Stegostoma tigrinum: one gene and its partners. The protein of the gene in region 2 binds, or shares a complex with, the protein of the main gene of each other region. Links are inferred from orthologs where the notes say so. Each region holds a gene or a part of one and is shown on either strand. Other genes may lie near its edges.

What was found.
Region 1: taf1c (region 2) and rrn3 share a complex: the UniProt entries of both Homo sapiens proteins name them as parts of the pol I pre-initiation complex. The link is inferred for Stegostoma tigrinum from reciprocal best matches to the Homo sapiens genes TAF1C and RRN3.
Region 3: taf1c (region 2) and taf1a share a complex: the UniProt entries of both Homo sapiens proteins name them as parts of the transcription factor SL1/TIF-IB complex. The link is inferred for Stegostoma tigrinum from reciprocal best matches to the Homo sapiens genes TAF1C and TAF1A.

The regions. Positions count from the first base shown.
Region 1 is NC_081376.1:51,356,394-51,360,145, reverse strand, and holds the start of rrn3 (RNA polymerase I-specific transcription initiation factor RRN3), read right to left. Parts: upstream 2,741-3,752; 5' UTR 2,732-2,740; coding exon 2,639-2,731; intron 2,556-2,638; coding exon 2,499-2,555; intron 1-2,498. UniProt on the Homo sapiens protein: Required for efficient transcription initiation by RNA polymerase I (Pol I). Required for the formation of the competent pre-initiation complex (PIC).
Region 2 is NC_081354.1:138,937,226-138,940,977, reverse strand, and holds the start of taf1c (TATA box-binding protein-associated factor, RNA polymerase I, subunit C), read left to right. Parts: upstream 1-874; 5' UTR 875-1,007; coding exon 1,008-1,145; intron 1,146-3,752. UniProt on the Homo sapiens protein: Component of the transcription factor SL1/TIF-IB complex, which is involved in the assembly of the PIC (pre-initiation complex) during RNA polymerase I-dependent transcription.
Region 3 is NC_081362.1:52,741,100-52,744,851, reverse strand, and holds the start of taf1a (TATA box-binding protein-associated factor RNA polymerase I subunit A), read right to left. Parts: upstream 2,400-3,752; 5' UTR 2,208-2,399; intron 1-2,207. UniProt on the Homo sapiens protein: Component of the transcription factor SL1/TIF-IB complex, which is involved in the assembly of the PIC (pre-initiation complex) during RNA polymerase I-dependent transcription.

The DNA of each region.
Region 1 (3,752 bases), on a different chromosome or scaffold from region 2:
AGAATAAAGAACTGCTTTGAAATGCAGTCACTCTTAGTAGATGAATGGCACCGCCAATGTGCACTGCAAAATAAACAAATAAAGTTGGATCAACTAATCTCCTTGTTGATGGCAGTGGTCAAGGGAGAAAATGTGTGCAGGATCCCAGGGGAATTTTCTGGATTTACCTGGATGTGTCTGGACTTGGTTTGAGTTACAAAGAGAGGTGGGACAGATTGGGTTTTTATTTCCCTGGAGCGTTGCAGACTGAGGAATGACCTTATGGAGGTCAATAAAATGTGGTAGGGAATCTAAAACTAGAGGGCAAAAGGTGACACGGAGAGATATAAATGGGTCCAGAGGGCAAATTTTGTTTCACCCACAGTATGATGAGTGTATGGAACAGGCTGCTAGAGGTAGTGATGGAGTCGAGTACAGTTATGTCATTTAAGAAATATTTGAACATTACACGGATAGGATAGGTTTGAAGGGATATGGACCAAACACAGGCAAATGGAATTAGATTAATTGTGTAAACTGGGCAGCACGGACAAATTGGGCCAAAGGGCCTGTTTCCATGCTGTAAGCCTTCATGACTCTAAGTATTGCCATGGAATCTTTCTTCCTGAATCATCAGAGCAGGCAGACAGGGCCACAGTTTAACACTAAATCAGAAAAACTTCTGTTAAGAAAATTAAGAAAAGAGAGACAAGCAGATTTGCATTTATACAACAGGACTGTTTAAAAGTTATTGAACTCAAAATGTTAACTCCGCTTTTCTCTCTACAGATGCTGCTGAAATTCTCCAGCAATTTCTGTCTTTGCACCAAGGATAACCCCAATTCTTCTTCAAAACTGGGTTCTGGATTTGTTTATGTCCGCCTTAGAAAGTTGCCTTAGCCTTGGTTTAACATTTCATCCAAATAGTTACACCTCTGACAGTGCAGCTCTCCATCAGTACTGCAATGGAGAAACAATCTAGATTAAGTGGAACGTGAATCCACAAAGCTGCATCTCAAACATGAGTGTGGAAACAACAGAAATACAGTAAAAAGAAAATAAGTAACTTAATACAAACAAAAACTTCGTACTATAGAACAAATTTACAAGGAAACAGAATCAGTTAAATGATGAAAGGTTTCAATCCTATCAAAATTAAATTTTGACCAGATTTTTCTTCAAATGACCAAAACATTGATTTTAAGTAACAATGCTGATGCTGGTTATCATATTAAATCTCCGTTCACACACTTAGATTCGATATTATAATTAACATGAAAAACTGTTTTAGGCCAGGAGTTCGTAACTCGATCAGTGAAAATTACCTCAGTGTATAATTTCACCAAAAGGCTGAAGAATTTTTGAAAAGTCTGTTTGCTTGTTTCAGACACTGACTTTTTCCCCCCCATTTTTCAGAATTGTGAAGAAGTGTTAGAAGGATTACCAGGCTGATCAACAACCTGTTCAACCACACTGTGGATGTACTTCCTTCATATCACGAACATTCCTGTGACCAACAAGTCTTGGAGTGGCCTGAACCTGTAGCTTCTAGCTGAGAAGCAGGGGCACTATTCACTGAGTCCATCATTCCCATTCCTAATCATTAACATTACTTTATGAGAGAATTTAAAACAGTCATTTTATATTTAGTCATTGTTTGCCCAAACATGGATTGGTGGTGAGCAAATAGCATCAGAAGATCATGGAGCTTTTCCTAATGTGTCTGCTGTTATATTTGTATTACATACATTAATTTAGGTGGATGATATTGCCTTTTGGAGGCAAGGATTCACGGCCTTTGGGACCAAGACAGCAGTTGAAGTGTGGTGGTGTGAGAATGCCAGCATTTCCGGGAAATTTTCACAAATAAGTTTGAAGACATGTGTTGTGCATCAGCTAATTGCGAGTGAGTCAATGTTGTTGCCCTGGGGTCCTAGCTAAGCTAGATGAAAGCAGCTCAAAATTTAAGATAACGAAGTGTGAAGCTGGATGAACACAGCAGGCCAAGCAGCATCTCAGCAGCACAAAAGCTGACGTTTCGGGTCTGGGCCCGAAACGTCAGCTTTTGTGCTCTTGAGATGCTGCTGGGCCTGCTGTGTTCATCCAGCTTCACACTTTGTTATCTTGGATTCTCCAGCATCTGCAGTTCACATTACCTCTGCTCAAAATTTATTTCAGTTAGCATTGGGACAGACTGATCTAGTGTACATTTACACTTCAAATTTGTGCTAAACTCAGGTTTCACACTGTTTCATTCCAGAGTCAAGATTATGCCTAACATCTAGACTCACACTACCCCTTTCATCCAACACTAATTGGAATAATCCTTGCACATGCTAATCTGGAGTAGGTACATATAGAGAAACAGATCCACCATATTCATAAAATTAAAAATGCTATGTTATTACAGAGTACAAACCTAACAGATTAAATGCAAATTGTTAAAACTGTAAAGTTCCATATGTATAACAGGAAAACGCTGCACAAATGAGATGCATGTTAAACAATTTGTTGATTACCTTTATTTCTGGATCATCCAGTTGTGTCATCAGCAAATCATAATCCACAGTATCTCCCTAGGGGGAAAAAACTCTTTTGAATCAAATTTACAGAAAGGTGAGAAAATTTCTTACACATTTACCTGTTTAACTTATTTTACCTGTTTATATTTCTTTAAGATTTCTGTAACCGTTCCACCAAATCTGACAGCTTTCCTTGGTGGGGAACTGAAGAACTCACTTTCTCCCAACATTGTCAAATGGAAGCCTTCAGGAACATAGGAAGAATTATTTATACATTGTAAATGTATCCCTCTGTAATCTCTTTTAAATCAGTTATCGTACTGTCTTCAAAAGAATCCACCCTTGATCCTTCTGCCAAGTCTCCCTTAACAAAATCCATTCCAAAGTCCAGCACCTCCAGGTCTTCTCTTCTATCTTGATCCCACTCTTTCTGCTTCTATCAGGACCTGCCAATTCACAAATTCAATCCCCGCCTGTTGCTCCCACATCGTTAATACTATCCCTCTAAACTTAGCTTCCTGTCACGTGCCATTCTCTCTCAACATACATGTAATCACCCTCTGTGACGTAAGGTGTGAGATGTTATTATTATTTGAGTTTGGATCTTGAACTAATGGATTTTGGTCTGTGTGTTTACATGCCTTAGTGATTAACTTGTCAGCATTTCTGAAGTCATGCTTTTTTCAAAAAAAACTAGCATAAGAGACAGACATCCTGAAGTGTTCAGGCAAATTTGTTTGCATTGGGAAAGTGTGACCAGCGGTAGAGTACACACTGAAGAGCATCAGCATGCTTTCTGTTAGAAGAGTCAGGAGCTTTTTGTATTGGCTTAGGCAAAAACACCAACACTTGGAAGCTTTTGGTTTCTGTTCGCAGAAATCCTGAATGAAGGCAGATGTATGAAACGGTTTCTCTGGGAGAAAGGAATTAGTTCGGAAAAGTTAGGAAATAAGTTACCTTAGCGTAAGCGTTTCAGTTAGAAAAATAGGATCGGAGGTATTTGGCAGACCCTGAAACTAAGGAAATCTAAGCTCTGCGTGATTACTCAAGGAAGAAGCTATCAGATGATCAAGACCAGGAATTGAAAGCAATAATTAAGTCAAACCCATAGATGTGATTGAGACAGGAATTCTCTCTGGTGTTTGAGATGAAATAGTGTTCTTTTCTGTTTTGAAATCTTTAAAGTTGGATGTAAAATTTTATCTTTTATTTTGCATAGTAAACTTGTTTAATTTTTAAAATTTGATCAGC
Region 2 (3,752 bases):
ACATTACAATTCAATATGTAGCTAAAGATGCTGCTTGGCCTGTTGGGTTCGTCCAGCTCCACACTTTGTTATCGTTAAAGAACTGGTGTAGGGGGCTTGGGCTTCAGATAAGTGGGTCATTGGGATGCCTTCCAGGTAAGGGGAGACCTGAACAGGCAGGACAAATTGGACCTAAACTGGAGGGGCAACAATATCTTGGCAGGGAGGTTTAAACTAGTGTGGTGGGGCTATGATCTGGAGTAGCAAGTCAGTAAATATACAGGCTGGGGAAGGGCTTGAGTCAAAAGCAAATATAACGCAGAGGAAGACATAACAAAGTGTGGAGCTGGATGAACACAGCAGGTCAAGCAGCATCTTAGCAACTCCACACTTTGCAGATGCTTGAGAATCCAAGATAACAGTTCGCATTATCTCTGATACAATAACTCAGAGTAAGAGCAGTCAGGGACAGGTTGCGGAGCTCAGCGGAACTGGAGGCTTGGAGTGCATTTGCTTCGATGCAAGTTGTATAACAGGCAAGGCAAATAAACTGGATTAATGTATACAATTACGATCTTGTTGCAATCACAGAGATATGGTTGAAAGAGGGATAGGATTGGAAGCTTAACTTTCCAGTATATCGATGCTTTAGTCGAGACAGAGGCGGAAGCAATAGAGGTGGGGAGTTGCATTACTGGTTAAAGGATGCATCAGCTGTGTTCGGTTCAAGTCTAGACAGCCTGTGGTGCTCTCGGAACAAGCACACACCCACGGAGCGGCTTCTGCCGGAGGGCGTTCCGTTGCCCTGGGTAACGCAGGGAGCTCCACTTCACTCGCCCTCACCAACATGGCGTCCGCGAGCACCCACAGCAAAGTCGCGCGCTGCTGGGCTCCGCGGCGGGTCGAACAATTCGCCCGTGAAGGGCCCGCCCCCTCATTGTTGCATCCGCCGGAAGTCGGTCCTCGCTTCGGGCAGCACGCGCAGTCGGGTTTCGGTACGGGTGCCGTACGGGCTCAGCGACGGCGGCATGGAGAGCGCATTCCCGTACTCCCTTTATCCCAGCTTCTACAACTCCGGTCCCTCCGCTTGGAACCCCTGGGAGCCAGGGGGCTGGGGAGAGTATGAACATGTCCAGCCGTTCTGTGCGGAGGGCGGGGGCCAACAGGTGAGGGTCGAACTGCGGGAGCGGGAAACGCCGCCTCCCCTCCTGGGGAGCAGCTTTGGGGAGAGATGGGGGCAGTAACGGCTCGTTGCACCACCTCACGCTGGAACAACAAAGCAATCAAACATACTTGTACTGGGTCTCCCTCATGCTGGGGACGCCTCGCCGTTAATACTGAAGACTGCTTGCTAGGTTAGAGCAGCTGGAGAATCTGAGATAACGAGGTGTAGAGCTGGATGAACACAGCAGGCCAAACAACATCCATAAGACCTAGGAGTGTAAGTGAGGCCATTCGGCCCAACAATTCCACTCCGCCATTTAAACCATGGCTGATGGGCATTTCAACTCCACTTCCCTGCACTCTTCCCCCGTAGCCCTTGATTCCTTTTGAGATCAAGAATTTGTCGATCTCTGCCTCGAAGGCATCCAACGTCCCGGCCTCCACTGCACTCTGCGGCAATGAATTCCACAAGCCCACCATTCTCTGGCTGAAGAAATGTCATCTCATTTCAGTTTTAAATTTACCCCCTCTAATTTTAAGGCTGTGCCCATGGGTCCTAGTCTCCCTGCCTAACGGAAACAACTTCTTAGCATCCACCCCTTCTAAACCATACATTATCTTGTAAGTTTCTATTAGATTTCCCCTCAACCTTCTAAACTCTAATGAGTACCATCCCAGGATCCTTAGTCGTTCATCATATGCTAAACCTACCATTCCAGGCATCATCCATGTGAATCTCTGCTGGACACGCTCCAGGGCTAGTATGTCCTTTCTGAGGTGTGGGGCCCAAAATTGGACACATTTAACGTGGTTACGTGTTTCGTACATCTAAGTCATTGCAGTGTGGAGCTGGAGGAATGTCGACTCTCCTGCTCCTTTGATGCTGCCTGGCCTGCTGTGTTCCTCCAGCTCCACACTATTATGTTATCTCAGCCGTGATCTTGTTGAGTGGTAGAACAGGCTTGAGTGCAGAAAGGTAAATCCTGACCCCTATTTTCATAGATGGTGGAAGATGAGTCAAATTTTCAAGCAGTGGAAAGTGAAAATTACAAGAGGGCACCCCAGTTATGAGAAGGAATAGCTGCAGGGAAGGTAATACTAATCTATCAGAGGTAACAATGTGTGGGGCTGGATGAACACAGCAGGCCAAGCAGTGCTCCTAAGATGCTGCTTGGCATGCTGTGTTCATCCAGTTCCACAATTTGTTACCTTGGATTCTCCAGCATCTGCAGTTCCCACTTTCTCTGATCACAAATCTATCAGATATTTGTTTTGAGTTGAAAAGCATTTCATAAAATTAGATTCTACACAGGAACTTCAGATGAAATGTAGAGATAATCAGGTGAAACTTTGCTGTCTCAATAATATTTCTGCTCAAGGGGGAAGTTTGAGTTAGTTCTTTTTCAATCTTTTTATATCCCAGGAATGAAGGGCTTGTCATATGAAGAGCCAGAAGCCACATGATACCAGGTTATAGCCCAACAGGTTTACTTAAAACCACAAGCTTTTGGAGTGTAGCCCCTTCATCCGATGGTTCTGGTGTTGTGTGACTTCTGACTTTGCCCACCCCAATCCAACACAGGCACATCCATATCATACGAAGGGTGGGTTAAGGACTCTGGGTCTGTACTCGACGGAGGTTAGAAAGATGGGAGGAGATCTCATTGAAACCTAGAGAATGCCTAGAGACCTGTGTAGAACAAGTTTTGACTAGGGAATGGTCACAGTTTTTTTCCTATTCATTTGTGGGATGTGGGCATTGCTGGCTGGCCAGCATTTATTGCCTGTCCCTGGTTGCTCTTGAGAAGGTGGTGGTGATGATCTGTTTTCTTGAACTGCTGCAGTCCACATGCAGTGGGTTGACCAACAACGTTATTGGGGGGGAGTTCCAGGATTTTTGACTCAGCCAACAGTGAGGGAGCAGCAATATATTTCCTAGTCAGGATGAGGAGGAGCTTGGTAGGGTGGTCTCTGCCGCTGTCTTTTCTGGTGCCTGGGTCAATACCAGATGCTTCATACATTTTCATTTCATTGAGACTTTGTAGTGATTGGTACAACTGAATGGCTTGCTTGCCATTGCAGAGGGCAACTGAGAGTCAACCACATTGCTGTGGGGCTGGAGTCACATGTAGGCCAGACCAGGTGAGGATGATGGATTTCTTTCCCCCAAAGGGTATTAGTGAACCAGAAGGGTTTTTCTGACAATTGACAATGATTTCATGGTGATCAATGGGATTTGAACCTAGGTCTCCAGAACATTAGCTGACTGTCTGGGTTAATGGCTTTGAAATTGCTTCAGGCACACCAAAAACTACATCACCAATATATATTATCAGGAAAAGCAGGGGCCTCAATACCGAGCCCTGGGGATCTCCACTACAAGTCTTTCTCCAGCCCAAAAAATATCATTTCACCATTATTCCAGGTTTCCTTTCACCCATTCAATTTTGCATCCACTTTGCTACACACCCCTTTATTCCATGTCCTGTAAGTCTCTTCACATCTGTGGTGTGGCTCTGTATCAAGCACCTTGTGAAAGTCTGTGTACGCCATATCAACGACATTACCTCTTTGAACATTGTGTTACCACTTCAAATTGTCCAGTAAGT
Region 3 (3,752 bases), on a different chromosome or scaffold from region 2:
CCGGGCCATCTTCCACTTCATTTGGGGGTCGAGGATGGACCGGGTCCGTAGGGACACCATGTACAAAGACCTGGAAAACGGGGGAAAGGACGTACCAAACGCCACCCTCGCCCTGATGGCTACCTTTGTCTGCGGCTGCATCAAGCTGTGCGCAGATCCTTAGTACGCAAACACCAAGTGTCACTACTTACTGAGGTTCTACCTGTCCCCGGTGTTGCGAAGGATGGGCCTGGCCTCGTTGCCGCGGAACGCTCCCAGTAGTTGGACCGTTCCGTACCACCTGTCCTTCGTGGAGAAATTTTTGAAAGGAAACACCTTTGACCACAAGGCCGTCAGGCAGTGGTCAGCACGTAGTATCCTCGAGACTCTTCGGGAAAAGGAGAGGATGGATCCCGTCGTGTGGTTCCCCACGCAGACTGCCAAAGTCATTTGGCAGAATGCCTCATCGCCAGAACTTTCAAACAAGCACAAGGACATTGCTTGGCTGGTGGTGAGAGGGGCTCTGCCAGTGAGATCCTTTATGCATGCCTGGAATCTCTGCGCCACTGCACGCTGCCCTCAAGATGGCTGCGGGGCGGACGAGACTGTTGATCACCTCCTTCTGGAGTGTGCCTATGCGCAGGAGGTCTGGAGGGGGATGCAGTGGTATTTGCCGAGGTTCGTCCCGAGCAGCTCCGTGACACGGGACTCCGTGCTCTACGGGCTGTTTCCCGGGACGCACACCGAGACCAACATCATCTGCACCTGGAGGACCATCAATACGGTGAAAGACGCTCTTTGGTCTGCCCTCAACTTGGTCTGCCAGCTGAAAGAACTGGCCCCGACCGAATGTTGCAGACTGGCGCACTCCAAGGTCCAAGACTACGTGCTGAAGGACGCACTAAAGCTTGAGGCAGCCGCCGCCGCCAATGCGCGGTGGGGAAAGACCACGGTGTGAAACCCCTCGTCCTGAATAGAAAAAGGAACCCTATCTGGTAACTGGGCCCAGCTGGCGCTTTCCCCAACTGGTCAGGGGGCCAACTGGGACTGTGCGGGGTGACGACTGCCGGGGTATTTTCTTTGCTTTGTTTTTTGTTTCTTCTTTGTTTGTTTTTTTCCTTTAGTTGGTGTACGTACCCCCTGGGTAACCCGGAGCGGCTTGCATGACTGGGTAGGTGTATAAGTGTTTTATTTTTTGTACATCTTATGAATAAAGTATATTTTTTCAAATAAAAAAAAGTGACGAAACGTCTGAAAATTAACCTTCCAGCTCAGTGAGCAAACTCACATCCAGAACCTCAACCTGAGCTATAAATCTTCTCAAAACTCGCTTTTACTTAAGTCCCCAGTTTATCTGTCTTGCAGACTCAGATTAACAGAAAACACACAGTCGGTTTCTCCACTTAACAAGAAATACTATATAATCACAAATGGATTGATTCCAGCAACAGATAAACAAATATGAACCACAGGCTAGCACTACTAGCTAAACTTTTAACCCCCTTCAAAAAGCACCAAAACAAATATGAAACAAAAAAGTATCATCAGTGGAATGAAGAAAACTTGTGGCAATCAGTTCAAAGCATCAGTCCCTAGGATTTGATGCATTGTTAACTTTGTTTCCAAAAGCCTTTAGTTCTCTGAATTTTTCCTTCAGGTTCTTCTACTTTGCAAGAGACACAGAGCGGCTTGTTCATAATTAAAAAATCTCTGACTTATTGCTGTAATGCAACAGCTTACAGCAACTGACAGGATAACGCAATCAACTTTATTTGGCTTCAAGTACTTTCACAGGAAAGAGAGAGAGAGGCCTTCTAGCCTACAGGCAACCAGTGCTCCACAAGACTCATTTTATCAGAGATGGCTGGCAATGATGCAATTAGGGGAGGTGAGATAAATATATGAAGTAGTACAGGGATGAATAAATTAGAAGTGAAGAAAGACTATAAGGTGATGGGAGTATAAACAAATGCAATTTCCTGTTTTTTTTGCATCTAATGACCTTTTAGTGATGGTATTAATACGCAAAAAAATTAAACCCCTTCTACAACTAACTACTTTCTAGACAACTTGAAATACTGAACTCTACGGCTGAATACCACCATCATTTCTTCGCTATTTCGGTTTTAGTTTTTTTTAAAACGAAAGCATAAAAATCACGAAGTTTTCAAAAGCTAAACAAATACTAAGTTTTTTTTCAAGAACTTCCAATGAAGGTCTCCACGCACCTTCTGATCACTTTTCCCCTCCTCTGATTAAGCAGTTATAACACCAAAAGATTTTCCTCAGTAGTGACCAAACGTTCAGCACAATCTCCTCCACATCATTTACCCCGTTGCCTGGGCACGCTCAGGATTCTGTTCCCCATCCGGGCAACGTTCCATTCCCAGGGTAACGTTCCAATCATAGGAAAAGGACAGTTTTACTTCCCACGTGCTGACAATCTAAAACTCCTTCCGGGGTCATGTTGAACATCTGCTGCATTTTCTCTGAAGGCAGCCATCCGCATTCGGGAGTATCGATTTTGTCCATTGAGTAACAGGGGGTAGTGACTTGGAAGTATTTATTCGTGATCTGGGATAAAGCTCAGTAAAAATATTTTCAGAATAACAACCGGTACATAGTCACCGCTTTAATGTATTTAACATTTACAGTTATCGTGATGTGTTCAAATTCCATTCAAACAAACATTTTACCATCAAACAAACATGACGATTATGCATAGTGGGTTTTTTTTTGGAATTTACTGCTTATCTAGTTGAACTTGTAGAAATAAACCAATGTTTATTTTCAAGAATAAAAGGCGATTCAAGATCAAACCAATAAGACTTGGCAGGTAAAGACGTGTTAAACCACTTGCACAGACAACGTGAAACAAAATACTGAACTCTACGACTGAATATAATCCAAAGCGTGCAACAACTCAGTCGGACTGGCAACATTTTAGAAGACGAAAGGTGCTTAACCTGATGAGTATTTCTGTGAGTTTTTACAGCACTTTGCAGATTTCCAGCATCCGCAATGTTCTGCTTTTAAGTGCGGTATGTCACGTAAGGCAAGAAATTCCGCAGTCTTCAGACTTACCACGTACCTCCATATCATTATCACCAGAACACATCTTTGTCTGCTTGCCTGTTCTGGCAGCTTCTCTTTCGTTGAGAACCTCAGTTATTGCAACTTTTTCACTGAAAATCTTCCTGTCTTCGTGCCTGCCTTAGCCCTCACACCATGTTTTCCACTGAAATGTGCTCACTGCTTTGTTGCCAGCGAGTGTTGTCAGTTATAGCCGCAAAGATTGGGATAAATTCAGAATCCAGCAAAGGAGGACTAAAAATATAATAAAGACAGTGAAAGTAAACCATGAGAGCAAACTAGCTAGCAATATTTTCAGTATGTGTGTTTCCAAACAAACTCTTGTTCAACCAAAGAAACAGGATTCAATTTTCCCTCTGCTGAAATTTTGGCAAAGATTAAGTTTGCTCAGGGAAAGAATGATGTCTACACTGTCAACTTGAATGACACAAAATATTCTACCAACTTCCATTGAAGACTGAGCTCCCCAAAATATTTAAAGCATGACTCCTTCTTGCAAGCCACAGTTCCACTTTCATCCTCTATGTCATTTCCAAAGTCCTTGAATTGCTTGTGAGCTCGTGTTTCTGAGACCATTTTTTGTGACTTGATGATCAATAATCTCTAGTAGCTCCTTAAGCAGGATTTTCCCCCAGCTGCAGCACTGAAATGGACGTTATCAAAGTGACATAGAACATAGA